3 linked regions of the Caenorhabditis elegans genome follow. The protein of the gene in region 3 purifies or fractionates together with the protein of the main gene of each other region. This does not show direct contact. Each region holds a gene or a part of one and is shown on either strand. Other genes may lie near its edges.

Evidence for each region.
Region 1: the proteins of hsp-16.49 (region 3) and F42H10.2 fractionate together in Caenorhabditis elegans (co-fractionation; one large-scale study listed by BioGRID). This does not show direct contact.
Region 2: the proteins of hsp-16.49 (region 3) and pole-3 fractionate together in Caenorhabditis elegans (co-fractionation; one large-scale study listed by BioGRID). This does not show direct contact.

What each region holds. Positions count from the first base shown.
Region 1 is NC_003281.10:8,487,281-8,492,817, forward strand, and holds F42H10.2 (coiled-coil-helix-coiled-coil-helix domain-containing protein), read left to right. Parts: upstream 1-3,339; 5' UTR 3,340-3,364; coding exon 3,365-3,625; intron 3,626-3,681; coding exon 3,682-3,768; 3' UTR 3,769-3,824; downstream 3,825-5,537. Other genes in the region: LIM and SH3 domain protein F42H10.3, read left to right, coding at 127-240, 420-613, 687-842; Splicing factor ESS-2, read right to left, coding at 1,176-1,539, 1,661-2,256, 2,320-2,493, 2,542-2,802, 2,857-3,057.
Region 2 is NC_003281.10:6,460,104-6,466,162, forward strand, and holds pole-3 (DNA polymerase epsilon subunit 3), read right to left. Parts: upstream 2,754-6,059; 5' UTR 2,745-2,753; coding exon 2,478-2,744; intron 2,435-2,477; coding exon 2,305-2,434; intron 2,251-2,304; coding exon 2,234-2,250; 3' UTR 2,113-2,233; downstream 1-2,112. Other genes in the region: algn-1 (Chitobiosyldiphosphodolichol beta-mannosyltransferase), read left to right, coding at 24-58, 103-258, 372-561, 609-736, 1,066-1,218, 1,266-2,079; dlc-1 (Dynein light chain 1, cytoplasmic), read right to left, coding at 3,112-3,289, 3,570-3,661; nduf-2.2 (Complex I-49kD), read left to right, coding at 5,121-5,237, 5,282-5,415, 5,459-5,633, 5,679-5,799, 5,853-6,059.
Region 3 is NC_003283.11:9,087,254-9,093,158, forward strand, and holds hsp-16.49 (Heat shock protein Hsp-16.48/Hsp-16.49), read right to left. Parts: upstream 2,514-5,905; coding exon 2,376-2,513; intron 2,321-2,375; coding exon 2,027-2,320; downstream 1-2,026. Other genes in the region: hsp-16.1 (Heat shock protein Hsp-16.1/Hsp-16.11), read right to left, coding at 40-351, 404-529; hsp-16.48 (Heat shock protein Hsp-16.48/Hsp-16.49), read left to right, coding at 878-1,015, 1,071-1,364; hsp-16.11 (Heat shock protein Hsp-16.1/Hsp-16.11), read left to right, coding at 2,862-2,987, 3,040-3,351; T27E4.1 (C2 domain-containing protein), read left to right, coding at 5,444-5,485, 5,739-5,828.

The sequences.
Region 1 (5,537 bases), on a different chromosome or scaffold from region 3:
CGCCAAGCCTAAGCCTTGTCTAATTTATGGTATCTAGTTATATAAAGTCCAAATTTTTCGTTGTGCTTCATGTGTAATTTTCTAAAAGCTTTTGTGTTGTGCATTGTTATTTTTCTTCGCTTTCAGTATCTCCAACACCACAAAAATCAATCGGAAGTATTGCTGACTATGATCCAATGAACGGACAATGGGGTACAGCTGCTGCTCAACCGAGAAATTCCGAGAAACTTGGATATTTGAGTAAGGATTTTGTTTTTTTTTTTGGCTTTTGTTTGAATGATTTGCTCATTTGTAATCCACACAAATTTTTTGCACGTTTTGGTACTTATTAATTCGTTTTGTGGAAGAAATAATCTTTTAAAAAGCTCATTTTGAATAATTTTGATCTGTCATTAATTGAAACTAACCGCTTGTTGCAGAGGCTCAAGTGGATAAAGGTCCGGCAAGATTTTGTGCGGATTTTGCAGGAGCTCCACCTCCATCATCAAATAGTATATCTTCAACATCTCCACATTCAACACTTTCTTCTCCACAAAGCACAATTTCACCGACTGGAAAAGCTGGATTTGCAGTTAAGGCAATTTATGATTACGCTGCTGCTGATAAAGACGAGGTAAATTTAAATTAGGTTTTCAACCAGTTTCACGATGAAAATTTATTCAACCATCTAAAATATTTGATTCCAGATTTCATTCCTCGAAGGTGATATCATCGTGAACTGCGAGAAAATTGATGATGGATGGATGACAGGAACAGTTCAACGAACTCTTCAATGGGGAATGCTACCTGCAAATTATGTTCAACCACATAAACTTCCTACCGGATTGCACCGACTTTCTTAATATTTCCAAACCCACGCACATTTTCTATCTCTCCATGACCTGCTCTTGCTCACACATTTCCCCTAAATGCTTCAATTATGCTTCAGGCTTCTGCAGTTATTTTTTCAACTTTCTGAAAATCCCACAAACGGGTTCTGTTCACCTTCTGAATGCCTTTTCTCCATTTGTTTTTCAATCTTCTAAAATGTTATATGGTGCTGAAATTTAAAAATTAAAAATTATAATAAATGAATTTACTATCAATTATTAGGCCATTGTCATAAATAATAAACCGTGTCTATAAGGCACATGAGAACAAAATATACAGATCTAAATTATACTAATCTTATAATATTAGAAAAAGTCTCCAGCATTTGCTCTATCTGCAGCTCCGGCTGATGTTGAAGGTCCGACGTTATCCCCTTTTCTTCGGATCATAGATTCAATCCCAGGTGTGCCAGGAGTTTGTGCTCCTTGGCTCCAAGATGATCCAGGTGTAGTAGAACCACGACTCCATGCAGAACCAGGAGTTGTGGATCGCTTTGAACTTGACGGTCTTGACCAATTCGACATGATTTTCGGCGAGGCGAAAGGAGATTTGTGAGCAGGTAACATTTTTAATCCAAGCTTCTTGGTTGCCAACTTTTGAGCAGCAGGAGATAATTGTGCAAGCTTGTCTGAGACTCGCTTGGATCCAAATCCAGGTGTTCGGCTGAAACTTTACCAAGTTGAAAATTATTTGAAGTACTATTATCTCGTTATAGATTTTAATACCATAGAGAAATATATTTTATAACTTGAAAAAATAAACAATTTTTAATTGAAAAATGAAAACTCACTGAGCTCCTTCAGCTGCTCTCATCGCAACTTTTCTCTTGTCTCTATATTTGGCCGCGATTGAATCATTCATAGATTGTGCAATTTTCTCCCGATACGGAACCTCTGGTATCTTGAATACAGGCGCCGCACCAGGCAACGAATGCTCTGTAACGTCAGGCGCATCAAGTCGGAATGGTGTTCCATCAATTTCTCCCCAAGTCATAAGAGGAGAATCCATGTCGTCAGGATTTGGATTCGGTGTTTCGAGTAATTTGAATGAGTTGGCTGGAGTTACTTCATTTCCCAAAAAATCAACTTTTCCGGCATTCGCGAGAGCATGGCTCACTGCTGCTCGAGTCATAGCTTCGTCGCTAGGCTTCAATTTTCCGGAGTCTGGAAACCTAGTGCCACGTTTATTTATTTCAGTTTGCTGTTTTCTAGCTGCATCTGCAATCTCTGCAGGTGTCAGAGCTGCCCCATCCGGATTGAAGAGTACAGTGTTCCATGCTTTGTATGCCCAATTGTCTACATTCAGAGGTCTATTGTCATCAGCATCTACAGCATGTTTTAAAGCCAACTGCACGTCAGCTTCAGCAGCAATTGCTTGTCGAGTCACCTGAAATTAGATTAAGTTACGAATTCGACGATATCAGATTTTATTCGTGAAAGAATATCTTACAAGGTTTTTGTTATGCTCTTCCTCGGCTTTATAAACCCAAGGACGACGTGCATCTTCTCGTTCCCTCATAACTTTCGCCAATTCCTCGAAGGAAGCATTGTCTTCTGATGTGTATTTGTTGAGATATGACGTTAAAGTCTCTTCTTTCTTCTTTTTTCGTTTCCGATTTAACGCCTGAAACTCTGCGAAAGATAGTAATGGATTGAAAATCATAAATCTAACCTCATTATCTCCTTCCTCATTAGCAAAAGGCATTGGAGATTGCATCCAATCATGTGCACTCGAAGTTGAAGCAGATGAAGGGCCCGGTGTATCTGCATCGAAAGATGAAACATCAGGAGCCTCAGTTGTCGAACGAGTTGTTATTGGGGTTCTGAAGCTTCTATCGGTCCGCACACTTCCAGTACTGCAGAACTTCATTTGAAGTTCTTTTATTTTATTAATGTCCTTATTTGCAACAGCCTCCAAATACTCTTTCTGTGCCTGAAAATAGAACTCATTAAAACAGTAAATATTTATAAATAATGATTATTTTACCTGCATTTTCTTGAGATGTGGAAAATAATCTTTTTCTATAATTTTATCAAGTCCAGCAATGTACTTCTCCTCGGGAACAACTTGGCGCTCAATTTTCTTAGTAACTAGGGTTTTCTGTGACAATTTCACTACTTTTCCCTCGTTTATTGATTTTGGCACCATCAGCTGAGCTCGCTCGTCATTTTTGTCGAACGACGACATTTTTCGAGTTCTGAAAATTTACAAAATAAAATTAAAAGCACTATTTTAAAAAGAAAAAACCACGAAAATTAGAAAAATAAAAGAAATTGCGAAATTTTATAAAAAATCGGAGTTTCGTAGTGCAAGTTGTTTAGCGCTCTCGTACGTAGTCCTCGTGGACAATAAACTTACTGTTAGAATTTGTTTTCTTTCAAAGATTATTTGATTAAATACATAACACTTCTTGTCCGTAAATTAATATATTTGATTTCTGGTTAATTTATCTTCAAAAACATTAATTGCTTTCAGAAAAGGTGATAATCTCGAAATGGCTTCAACAAAAGATGAAGTTGTGAGAATGAGCGTCGATGAGTACTGGGAAGATATTAAAGACGATTATCTTATACAACTAGCTAACACGGACCCTAATGAAGTCTATCCAAGCAATAACCCCGGACCAACAACTGCTGATGGCCAAATCAATTTTGAATGTCACTGTGTCGGTCATCTTGTTGGAAGCCCTTGTGGATTCGAGTTTCGGGAAGCGATTACGTGCCAAAAGACCAATAGTGATGGTGAAATAGAGCAGGTAACAATTATTTAGCTCTAGAGTTCTCGAAAATAAATAAATAATATGTATTGTAGGGAGCTTGCGGTAAGGAGTTGATGTCGTTCATGGAGTGTGTCACACGAACACAGTGTTTCGGTACCGGTGACAATGATAAAAAGTGATGATTCAATTATAATTTGTTCATTTTGTTAATTTATAAATAATTATTGTTTAAATACTGTTTTGTAATAATTATACTGTATTTTGTGCATTACAAAGAGTATTGCGAAACGTTTATTTGCTCTCTTTTCTTTTCATCTGTATATCTTCGAACACTCCTTCATTTTTTGGTTTTCTTTTCGCTGTTCGGATGTTCCTTTGGCCGGCTTGAAGTACTTTTCATATCTATTCTCCTTTTCCACTTGAAGTTTTAGTTGCTGTGGAAGATTCGATTCGGCCATCAGTTGTCAGGCTTAAATATGGTAAAAACGTTGCAGATCATTAATCGGCGGGAAGCGGGAATTTTGCATATTGTAGGAGAAGAAAGTATAGACCCGGTTTTACGGTAAAGTTCTTCTTCGCTTTAACAAATTGCTTCACTTGTCATACTTACGCTATTTTTGTAGGGCGCCAATGAAAGAATTTAGCGTTTCGAGTTCATCTATCAATTTGTATTTAAATTCTTGTGATTTTTGAGTGAGCATTGTAAGAAAAAATGATACTCAAATTCTCCGATTGGGTCAGATCAAATGATTTTCAATGTATTATAAATATTTTTTCAAGATCTCAATAGACGCCTTTTGATAACATATCCTAATCTAAATATTCTAATACCATATATCAAACAAAAATATCATGTTGACAGGCTGGATAGAGAGATTTTATACAATTTAAGAGATTCAGAGAAACGGGTGTCGGTTGAAGTGTAGGCTTTTCCCCTTAGTGTTTGCGCGCCCCCCTTCGCAAGCAGTTAGAGACGGTAGAAAAAGGGAAAAACCGAGAAGCTACTTGAAAATGTCTCGTGTTGAGAAAGGAAAAGATCGAGTCAAGAGAAGCAAAACTGGGGAGATATCAGCTAAATATACTCCCAGAACACCACTTGATATGAAAGTAGTAGTTTCTCTGTGAATTATGAGTGATTTCTGTGTTTTCCAGTGTTTTTTCGGCAGGTACAAGTCCAAACAGCATATTACGATGTTTAAAAAATATATTTTGCCTCAAATCGTACTCACCGGTTAAAGAGACATGACACGATTTTCCTTCATGGGTCTCGCCGCGAAATAAGTAAAGTAGAATGTTCCTTTAAACTTCGGGTACGGTTTTGAGGCAATATCGATTTTTTCTTCTTTTTTTGTTTGATGCTAAATAGAATAGGTTTTTCGCACCTTGAAACTGCAATTTCATGTTTAAATGTGTTTATTAGTTTTTTATAAATTTCCTATCACCCTACAAGAACAAAATTCATGAGCGCATTGAGAGAATTCTGAAATTTTTCAAAGATAAGATTTTTAGTCAAGCTCTCTTACATGCTCCTCTATACACTGATCAGTTAAAGTACTTTATCTGGTTTTTGTAGCGAGACCTGTCAACAGTGATAATTTAACTACCTCTCCTAACCCCCTCGAGATATGCGCACCCGCCTATTTCCCTCACTATACCCAGGTCGTTTACGTCCTCTTATCCGTCTGCGTTTCTTCTTCTCCACGCTCTCTATTCCCTCTTCTTCAATTATTTTTTGCAACCAGTTTTGCATCGTTCCACTAAATGGTACAAAAATTATTTTTCATATTTTTTGCCGTTTAGTTCTTCTTCTTTTCATAATTATCTTATCACCTTCAGAGACACGATGTATTTATGTATTTTGGGACTATCTTTGGTTCAGGGTGGGTTTTTTAACGCGCCAAAGTTGACAAAAGAGCTTGTTTTGGGAATATTGGCACACATCTTGGGA
Region 2 (6,059 bases), on a different chromosome or scaffold from region 3:
AATTGAATCTTCATAGGCGTACAATGGCAAAGGAAGACGACGAATCGCCAGACGAGAGGTAAAACAAAAAATTTTTAAAAATTACTGAAAATAACAGTTTAGAAGTGAAGCCGCAGTCGTCGTTCTTGGTGATGTCGGCAGAAGCCCACGAATGTGTAATCACGCAAAAATGCTCGCTGATGAAGGATTTGATGTCAAACTTATTGGATTTTTCGATTCTATTCCAGGAGAACAAATTATGAATCATCCAAGGATAAAGTGAGTTTCAGAAAATTTTTATCTAAAAAATTTGCAAAAAAGTTGTTCCGTTTAAAAAAATAAATTTAGTTACAAATCATCCAAAGAATTTTTCCAAATAAATAAAATTTCAGAATAGTTGGAATCCCGCCACCTCCTGACTTCATGGATTCGTTACCAGCTTTCGTGCAACTTCCACTGAAACTTTTTTGGAACTTTATAACTCTTTTCTTGGCTCTCGCTTTTCAAACAAGCGCCTTTAATTTAAGAATTATTCTTATGCAGAATCCGCCGGCGCTTCCGACGATGATAGTTTGTTTCATGGTAGGATTCTACTGACTACCGTTATAAAATATCAACTTTAATTTCAGTTTTCCATATTCAAATTCGCAAAATTCTCAATTGATTGGCACAATTACATGTATTCAATTCTACAAAATAAATACCAATTGACCGATGATCAAGTTTTTGGAAACGATAAAAAAACCAAAAAAGCCCAGTGAGTATTGGACACCGGCATTGTTCCCCGACGCGAAAAAAAACAGTCGGTACTCGGTCTCCACACGACAAATCTTTGTGAAACGAAGAATGACATACGCCTTTAAAGAGTACTGTAATTTATCCCATGAAAAATATTTTTTACGAAAACTGGAAAAATCACATCAAACTGTTGCAGCAACGAATTTGAAACTATAGTACTCTTCAAAGGCGCATAACCTTTCATATTTAACGAAAACTTGTCGTGCCGAGACCGGGCAACGTATTTTAGCCAAAACATTCGCGTCTGTACAATAAATCAAACTCGTATTGAACAATTTACATTTTCAGAATTGTGAGATGTGTTGGATTCCTAGAAGGTCTATGTGGAAAACTATCCGATTATAATCTGTGTGTAACAAATGCCATGCGTCGAGATCTCATGGATCGATGGGGCATCAGAGCCAGCACATTCTATGATAGGCCGCCGACGTGGAAATTTAGGTTTGAACAAATGTGAAATTTCTGAAAATTAATCTCGAAATTTTCAGAGACACAACAATACAAGAGATCCATGATTTGTATCTAAGACTTTCACAAAAGGAACGAATTCTACAAGGAAAAGACGAAGACTCCACAATTCTGACTCATAAATCTTCGAACGGAGTAGTGCAGCTACTAACAACTCGACCCATTGTGTTTCTCTCTTCCACATCCTGGACACCTGATGAACGGTTTGAAATTCTTCTCGATGCGCTGGTTGCATATGACAAAACAATCGGACTCCCGCGAGTTTTGATGATTATCACTGGAAAAGGTCCACTGAAAGCGAAATATTTACAAGAAATTCACGAGAAAAATCTGAAGAATGTCGATGTATTGACTCCATGGTTGGAAGCAGAAGATTATCCAAAGATTCTAGCCTCTGCTGACTTAGGAATCTCTTTGCACACAAGCACGTCTGGATTGGATCTTCCGATGAAAGTTGTTGATATGTTTGGAGCTAAAGTTCCAGCATTGGCTCTAAAATTCAAATGTATTGATGAGCTCGTTGAGGAGAAAACTAATGGATATCTTTTCGATGATTCTGAGCAGTTGAGTCGTCAAATTATTGAACTTTCTCGTGGATTCCCAAATAATTGCAATGAATTGATACGGCTCAAGAAGAATACACAGGAGCAAAAATTCGATTCTTGGGAAGTGATGTGGAAGAGATCAGCTACCTCTGGTGCAGACTTTCGAGTTCCAGACAATGGATTCGCCAAACTTCGTGCAATTATTCAATTCTCATTTTTCGCTATTTTATTGATCATGCCGATTCACTTATTTATGGGCACTTTTTCGGGGGCATTCAGATCGCTTTAATTTTTTTTCGGGGTTTTGTACATTCAATAAACTATTGGCCAAAATTGTTTATCAAAGTGAAATGTTAGAGACAAAAGTGGGACACGCGTTGAGAATCGGAATGAGATTTTACAGGAAGGATCGTTTTGAGCAGGAATGAGTTGGTTATGAGTGATCAGTTCATCAATGAATCTGCAATATTATAAATTATTCAGATAAACTTCAGATTTAAAGAATAGAACTAACCATCGACAGGAGTATCGTCAATAATGTCGTCATCCATTTCAGCATTGACAGAGCTGGATTCAACTGGATTTTTACGAGCGAGAGCCTTCTGCTGACTAATAACTTTCCATTTATCGTTGGCGGACTTGCACTGGAAATTTTAATTTCTTAACTCTTTCGAAACCCATAATTACATGATTGTGAATAGAAGTATTCTCAAGCTCTCGGAGTCCTTTGACAACATCATCTCCTGAGATCGTCTTGTGCTTCTGATCGCGAGCAGATTGAGCCGAAACGTCGGACAAGTTTATGAGAAACACTGCTGCAGCACGAGCGATGACGTCTCGAGCATCTTTTGATGCAGAAATATTGTCTTCTTTCATGAGCCGAGTCACAATTGCTGCTGGCATCATCATTTGAGCAATTCGATCATCGTTTTGATCCACATCGTTTGATGACATTTCTATCTTAAATTATTGCCTTGTTCAGTTTCGAGTATAAAAATGAAGCACAGATAATTAAGGGATTTAAAGCTATCCTTTTATTTTTACTTTTAGTGCGAGCACTTTTCGAGAACAAAAATATTATGAGTTCTCTTTTCTCTCAAAAACGGACAACGTAAGAAGATTTATGGGTGATGGAGGAAGATTCAAAGAAAATGAACAGTTTGAGCTAAATAAATAGAATGCGACGAAGGAAAATGTTTTTTGGGAGGAAAAGGAAGATTTAACAAGAGTGCACACTGAAGATCCTACGCCACCTAAGGTACACGTAGGATCAGGTCACAATTTAAAGATCATTGAATGTTTTTTAAGAACAGGATGGGATTTATCCAGACTTGAATAGCAGGATGGCGACCTGTCCAAGGTAGAAGTAGATAAAGTGCTTAGTCTCGTGGGTCACGTAGCTTCCAAAGTTTCTTCCGACGATGCAATGCCAGGTTGGGTTGTATTTCTTGTCGAACTCCTTCTTGATGTAAGCGGCAATATCCTTCTCGATGTTGTATCTGAAAAAAAAATGTTTTGATTTTATTTTTTAGACTTTCATCGCTTCGCTTTTTTCTTGCACAAGGATCAGATTTGTTCGATCAGCTGGTCGCTCCTGCTCGCCCCCTCCCCTAGACTCGGGCTGCCGTCCACTTTAGTTTAAATCAAGGGACCGATGAGCCGTTCCAAACAGCTAAACGACATTTCTTTACACTTTTTCTCTACTAAGCGACCAAGTGTTGTTCATGGCAATCGAATTATTCAAGCGTTTAAAATGCAATGAGAAAGCTCATAACTCACTTCTCGAGGGCCTGGGTGGCGCAGTCGATGGCGTCCTGTTGCATGTCATCGGACATGTCGGCATTCTTGATCACAGCCTTGCGGTCAACCATTTTGAACGGATTTGGCTGCAAAAAATACAAAATTAAATTAATTGAACACCGGGTACTCGGTAGTAGTTATAATAACGGTTGTGAATGCGGAATGCGGAGGTCAAAGAGATAGATAAGGATAATGGAAGAACGGCAAGGTAATTATTTGAGCGACCCAATTTATGACACGAAACAGGAGTATGTTAGTACGAATAAGGCTCTTCAGAGTATTAAAAATATAATTTGCAAAGCTCGGAGGCACTTGAGTACAGAGTATTTGCGCCCGCAACATGAAAAACTTTTGACGTGAATTGTTTAAATCTGAACAGTTTAGAAATAATGAAATAGATGAAAGAAGAAGAGTTCCCCAGTTATGTGTCATCGGGAACTTTTTTCAAAAGATATTTCATGTCAACAAACAGGCTACTTTTTCGATAAGAGTACACATCAGATTGTACGCATTTATCAGCAGCAGCATTCGTAAGACAACAGAGAAAAGATATCGAAAGTGGAGGAGAATGAAGTGAGCCAAAAGATAACAGTTTCAAAGAGTGGAGGAATGGGTGGCATTGGGAGACGAAAGAGAAGATGGCTGAGCGAAGCCGAGAGCGAGATAGGCGGGGCGCGTCGCACGCTGCACAGCCGCGTCGCACGCGACCCGGCTGTGTTGGAGTGTGCGACTCGGCTGTCGTCGGGGCAATGCGCGCGCACTCAAATGCAAACAGGCGCGTGCCCGCGTATTTCAAAATGTTTTGGGGTGTTGGTGGGAGCGAGAAGAAGGAGAAAAAAAAGAAAAAGTGAAGGGCGTTGGAAGAAACTGCGAGGTTGTTGTGTGAGACGAGCATGAATGTGTTTATAGACTCTAACTCCTGAATACAATAGACCGGAAAAAGGAAGAGGGTGAATATAAAAGTAATAGATGCATAGAAGATCAATTTGAAACATAGCAAAGCTCTTGGAAAAAACCAAGAGCTTAAAAATATATGATGAACACTTTAAATCTATTTTTAACACTTTTAATCTACTTTTAATCAACTATCGTCAACAAAAATTCCACAATCTCTACTAGCAAAATGTTGTTATCGCTCGAAAAAGCACTGGAAACACTATCTTTGCAAATTCTATGAATAATTGCTTATAAATTCTGGAATTTAGTTATTTCTTTTTAGAGAAAGTGTGTTTTTTTGGGAAAATAAAGGGCGTTTGAGAAAGATTAAAAAGCCCAAAGATTCAAGTAGGAAATTTTTTTACGAATACTCTTATTTTGAAAAATTCGGAATTTTTCGAAAGTTAAACATTTTGCTAAGCGCTACCTTAATCTTTGAATAGCCTAAAGGCGCAAGGAGCAAGTCTCGAGTAGGGTCCCGCAACGATTGAAAGCGACTACGGTAGTATTTGAAATTAGCAATATTTGTTTTACACGTTTTCTCCTTGAATTTTCAAGTTTAACTGTAAATTATTACTGTAAATTTGTTCAGAGATGCTTTCGCGATCATTGCATCCTCTTCGAGCGGTAGCATGCGCCAGGCCAGCTATTTCTAATCGTGATTCTCACACAATTTGGTATCCTGACGCTAAATTCGAACGTCAATTCAAGGTATTACTGTTTGCATATACTTTAATGCATTTTCACGATTTCAGACTGGCGGAACTCTTGGGAAACTTTGGATGTCAGAACGCGTATCCGATTTCGACGATCAAATCGGACTTGACAAATTGGAGAAACTTGCATACAGCGATCCGGTGCTCAGCGACAATTATGAGGGAAAGAAGAGGTTGCTGCAACGTTTTTTTTGCGATTTTTAAATTCTATTTCAGAGAGAAGAATCTGGAAAACATGATTCTCAACTTTGGACCACAGCACCCTGCGGCTCACGGAGTTCTTCGTCTTGTTCTCAAGCTGGAAGGAGAAGTCATCATTAAAGCTATTCCACATATTGGTCTGCTACATCGCGCTACAGAAAAGCTCATTGAGCACAAGACCTACACACAGGTTGAGTCGAAACAAATTTCAATTCGAATTCGAATAAAATTGTAGGCACTCCCGTATTTCGATCGCCTTGACTACGTATCCATGATGTGCAACGAACAAGCTTTCTCTCTGGCAATTGAAAAATTGTTGGGGATTGACGTTCCACCAAGAGCGAAGTATATCAGAAGTGAGCTATATGAATCGAGTATCGCAATTTAACATTTTAAAACATATTTTCAGTTCTTTTCGGCGAACTCACTCGAATTCAAAATCATATTATGGGAATCACCACACACGCCCTCGACGTTGGAGCTATGACCCCATTCTTCTGGATGTTCGAAGAACGCGAAAAATTATTCGAATTCTCAGAACGAGTTTCAGGTGCAAGAATGCACGCAAACTATGTTCGTCCAGGCGGAGTCGCATGGGATCTTCCTGTTGGATTAA
Region 3 (5,905 bases):
TTACATGCATAGTTCAAAAAAATCATAAAATTACAATAATTATTCAGAAGTTTTTTGTTCAACGGGCGCTTGCTGAATTGGAATAGATCTTCCTTGAATCGCTTCCTTCTTTGGTGCTTCAATTGAAAGTTTTCCATCTTCTGAAAGATTTGAAGCAACTGCACCAACATCAACATCTTCGGGTAGAAGAATAACACGAGAAAATGATTTCTTTGAATATCCATGTTCAGTCTTTAATTCTTGTTCTCCTTGAATTGATAATGTATGTCCATCCAAATTAATTTTCAAATCTTCTGGCTTGAACTGCGAGACATTGAGATTTATGGCAAACTTTTGATCATTGTTAACAATCTGAAAGAAATCTTTTTTATACAAACTCTTGAAAAAAAAACGTGTTACTTACCTCAGAAGATTCAGATGGAGAGCCTCTGCAAACTGGAGTAAATTGACGTTCCATCTGAGCCATATCTCTCATGAGATCACCAAAAACAGAACGTTGAGCTGGACGGAAATAGTGGTAAAGTGACATGATTGTAGTTTGAAGATTTCACAATTAGAGTGAATGTTGTTTGGTTCGGTTTTGTCACTGTATTTATACTCATTTCCACCTTTTTCTAGAACATTCGAGCTGCTTCTTGCAAAAGGAGGGCGACTCACATTCAGAACATTGAGAAATAGTGTGCGTACTGAAGAAACCCAGATACTTTTTCAATCTGCGTCTCTTTGCACCTATGGGGTGTATTTTGAAATGAATGCATCTAGGACCTTCTAGAACATTCTAAACGGCTGCAGGATACGGGTATATAAGCCAATCGTGTTCAGAGGAAACCAATACACTTTGTTCAAGTGCTTACTGTTCATTCTCTAAACTTCAAGAATGCTCATGCTCCGTTCTCCATTTTCTGATTCAAATGTTCTCGATCATTTCTTGGATGAAATCACTGGATCTGTTCAATTTCCATATTGGAGAAATGCTGATCACAACTCATTCAATTTTTCCGACAATATTGGAGAGGTAAGAAAATAATCTCTTTTTCAATTGTTTATTTGTCAAATGTTTTATTTTTCAGATTGTAAATGACGAATCTAAATTCTCTGTTCAACTCGATGTTTCTCATTTCAAACCAGAAGATCTTAAAATTGAATTGGATGGAAGAGAACTAAAAATTGAAGGAATTCAAGAAAAAAAATCAGAGCATGGATACTCGAAACGATCATTTTCAAAAATGATTCTTCTACCAGAAGATGTTGATTTAACTTCTGTCAAATCTGCAATTTCGAATGAAGGAAAACTTCAAATTGAGGCTCCAAAGAAGACTAACTCATCTCGTTCTATTCCCATTAATTTTGTTGCAAAACATTAATCTTTTATTGTATTCCAAATATTCTTAATTTCAATAAAGTCATTAATTTAATTTATTCATGTTCTCTAGCATAACAAAAACATCAAATCCGACTTTCCAATTCAAATATTTCAAAACAACATAATTGAAGTTATTCCAGAAACTTTTTATGCAAAAAATTTATTAGTCTCAATAAATGTTTTAGCTTGAATTTATGCTTAAAACAAAAAACATAAAAAATGTTTTAAAAAAATTACAGTGCGTGCAACTTCTACAGGGCCCTCATAAAATAGGTTCTTCAAGAGAAAAATCAGAAAATATTTTAAGCTACCAGCTACTCGGCTTCTCAGAAAACTCCTGCGACTTGATAAAAACACTTAAAAACTGTCAAAAGCTGTTATAAAGGTGCAGTTGATCAACACAGTTGTGAGCGAAATTAAGCTGAAAAACTGAATTTTGAAAAAGTTGCAAAAGTCGTTTGAAACGATGCAGGAATTTTTATAGCTAAACGTTTAACGGTTGGTAAAACGTAGCATGAGTATGCTGTAAAGTTGAGCCGTTATGTTGTTTTGAAATATTTGAATTGGAAAGTCGGATTTGATGTTTTTGTTATGCTAGAGAACATGAATAAATTAAATTAATGACTTTATTGAAATTAAGAATATTTGGAATACAATAAAAGATTAATGTTTTGCAACAAAATTAATGGGAATAGAACGAGATGAGTTAGTCTTCTTTGGAGCCTCAATTTGAAGTTTTCCTTCATTCGAAATTGCAGATTTGACAGAAGTTAAATCAACATCTTCTGGTAGAAGAATCATTTTTGAAAATGATCGTTTCGAGTATCCATGCTCTGATTTTTTTTCTTGAATTCCTTCAATTTTTAGTTCTCTTCCATCCAATTCAATTTTAAGATCTTCTGGTTTGAAATGAGAAACATCGAGTTGAACAGAGAATTTAGATTCGTCATTTACAATCTGAAAAATAAAACATTTGACAAATAAACAATTGAAAAAGAGATTATTTTCTTACCTCTCCAATATTGTCGGAAAAATTGAATGAGTTGTGATCAGCATTTCTCCAATATGGAAATTGAACAGATCCAGTGATTTCATCCAAGAAATGATCGAGAACATTTGAATCAGAAAATGGAGAACGGAGCATGAGCATTCTTGAAGTTTAGAGAATGAACAGTAAGCACTTGAACAAAGTGTATTGGTTTCCTCTGAACACGATTGGCTTATATACCCGTATCCTGCAGCCGTTTAGAATGTTCTAGAAGGTCCTAGATGCATTCATTTCAAAATACACCCCATAGGTGCAAAGAGACGCAGATTGAAAAAGTATCTGGGTTTCTTCAGTACGCACACTATTTCTCAATGTTCTGAATGTGAGTCGCCCTCCTTTTGCAAGAAGCAGCTCGAATGTTCTAGAAAAAGGTGGAAATGAGTATAAATACAGTGACAAAACCGAACCAAACAACATTCACTCTAATTGTGAAATCTTCAAACTACAATCATGTCACTTTACCACTATTTCCGTCCAGCTCAACGTTCTGTTTTTGGTGATCTCATGAGAGATATGGCTCAGATGGAACGTCAATTTACTCCAGTTTGCAGAGGCTCTCCATCTGAATCTTCTGAGGTAAGTAACACGTTTTTTTTTCAAGAGTTTGTATAAAAAAGATTTCTTTCAGATTGTTAACAATGATCAAAAGTTTGCCATAAATCTCAATGTCTCGCAGTTCAAGCCAGAAGATTTGAAAATTAATTTGGATGGACATACATTATCAATTCAAGGAGAACAAGAATTAAAGACTGAACATGGATATTCAAAGAAATCATTTTCTCGTGTTATTCTTCTACCCGAAGATGTTGATGTTGGTGCAGTTGCTTCAAATCTTTCAGAAGATGGAAAACTTTCAATTGAAGCACCAAAGAAGGAAGCGATTCAAGGAAGATCTATTCCAATTCAGCAAGCGCCCGTTGAACAAAAAACTTCTGAATAATTATTGTAATTTTATGATTTTTTTGAACTATGCATGTAATTACTATAAATTCCAGTATTCTGTTTCAATAAAATTTAAAAATAATATGAATTTGTGATATTTTTTGAAAGTTAGTAATAAATATGTAAATGCCGGCAATGTACTTCTTGCATAATGCCTATTTTTGGGTATTGCACAGCCCCTCCCATCCTAACACATTCTGCATTGCTCCGCGGAACCCGCCAGATGTCATGCTATACAACACCCTTACCCTCTCTTACCGCCACTTCTTAAACTTACCTGGCTGGGGGTTATCTCGCGATCATGAAGGCGGGATCCCCATGGTGAGGCCTATCCATTGCACTTTTGGATGGGCTGACCTGTGTGGCAGTCTCGAGTTGAGATTCGCCAACAGCTTAATTTTTGCGTATCGGGGCTGCGTGCGCGCGGCCCTGAAAAATATATTAATACTGTTTTCAATAGTAATTGGCATAACGAATCAGTTTCAAGTAAAACGTACGTCAATTTCAGTAGCAGAACGTTCAAACAGTTTTCTATCTGATCGCGATTATAACTCGAAGTCGTTGCCGTAGGAGTCCCTGTTAAAATGCATTTATGATCAGCTGAAATGACAAAATTTCATTATGAAACGAGCGAAAAATTGTTAACTGCTTTTAAAAACGCTCAATCAAAGTTTTGGTAGACTGTCGAATTTCCAAAAAAGAAAGTTGAAGCAAACCCCATATTCCATTACTAATATGGAGTTCACTACAGGGTTGATTTTGGAAACAGAGTATCGATGCTTTTTCCTAACTGAACACGATTTCGCTAATCATACCGGCTTTTTTTAAGAACAGTATTTAGATTTTTTCAGGGCCGCGCGCACGCAGCCCCGATACGCAAAAATTAAGCTGTTGGCGAATCTCAACTCGAGACTGCCCTGAGACTGCGAGTCAGCCCATCCAAAAGTGCAATGGATAGGCCTCACCATGGGGATCCCGCCTTCATGATCGCGAGATAACCCCCAGCCAGGTAAGTTTATGAAGTGGCGGTAAGAGAGGGTAAGGGTGTTGTAAGGCATGACATCTGGCGGGTTCCGCGGAGCAATGCAGAATGTGTTAGGATGGGAGGGGCTGTGCAATACCAAAACTAGGCATTATGCAAGGAGTACATTGCCGGCATTTATTTATTACTTACTTTCGAAAAATATCACAAATTCATATTATTTTTAAAATTATAGGTGGATTACTTGCTCTCGAAAATTAACACAAATTATAACATTTTCAATTTTACTGGAAGTTAGAATGCGATTACATTTGTTCGCGCGATTTATGGCATTTGCATTGTAGTGAATTTTCAGAAAATATCTCATCAATTAGAAATTTTCATTTGTTCAAATTCTGAAAAATAACCGTCGCATTTTTTTAAATGAAATTTTGGGAACTGAGTTCAACTATGAAAACAGTTTTCAAGTGCACCATCAGAGTCTGAGTGAGTTATCTAAAAGCTGTTAGGCACTCGTTAATAAATATGTTGAATCCGAAATAATCGTTCAAACTTACTCCGAAAATACATATATCGACTTTTTTTTTGAAATAGACATACATATATCTCAATTGTTATTGTGGGTGAGCAAGATTTGGGTCTATAATTAGTTCCCTTGAGAATTTGATGTGTACACACATACCTATATAAGCCTCATTCTTCACTCATTTCTCAAAATAAAGCCACGAAAATTCCCACTTCAATTCATTCGTTCAAAACCCTCTCAAGAACCGTCGATTAAAGGGTGTCATTCGTCACAAGTATCCTCCTTCTTCCTTTCTTTTTTTCTCTCAACTGCTGAGCCTTTCCTCCCGAAGGACATAATGCCAACGTCCATATACTACTGCTCCAATCTTTTCTCTCTTTGCTTTCAAAAACTTTTGTTCCTCCGTTTCACATTCCCTTAACTAGCTCATCCTCCCACATCGCTCTGATTTTACTCTCTCGTTTTCATATTATTTCCGTTTTTGCCCAAATCACACATCGATTCGATTGTTATGCGTGGAAAAAATGGTTTGTCTAACTGTCTGAATCGTTCACTTTCCGGGAATACTCTCGCTTCGCCGATATGATGTACAATTGGATGGAAAGGCTCAGCGACGACGCGGAGGTATGATTTATAATATGAAATATACTTAATTGAGAATATTGAATTCTCAAAAATTATATTTTCATAAGATTGAGAGTAATTTAGAAAAACTAATAAATAAATTTATTTAATAAAAATAAATTTAACGGCCCCTCAATAAAACAAATTGACAATTAAAATTATAAAGAATTGAACGGTGTGGTAGAAAATTTGTAAAGTTCCAATCTTTCAAATTCATCATTCATAACTAGTTTTCTAAAACTTATATTTTCAGGTTCCGACACCAAGGAGGGTGCAGCCATGTCTGTCGGTGGCATTTGAATATGTGGAAGCTGAGAATGAATTTAACTTCTACATCCGAAATGTATGTATTTACATACATATAAAACTTGAAAAATGAGGGTATATGAACTATTCAATTTAGTTACTTTAAAAGCGAAT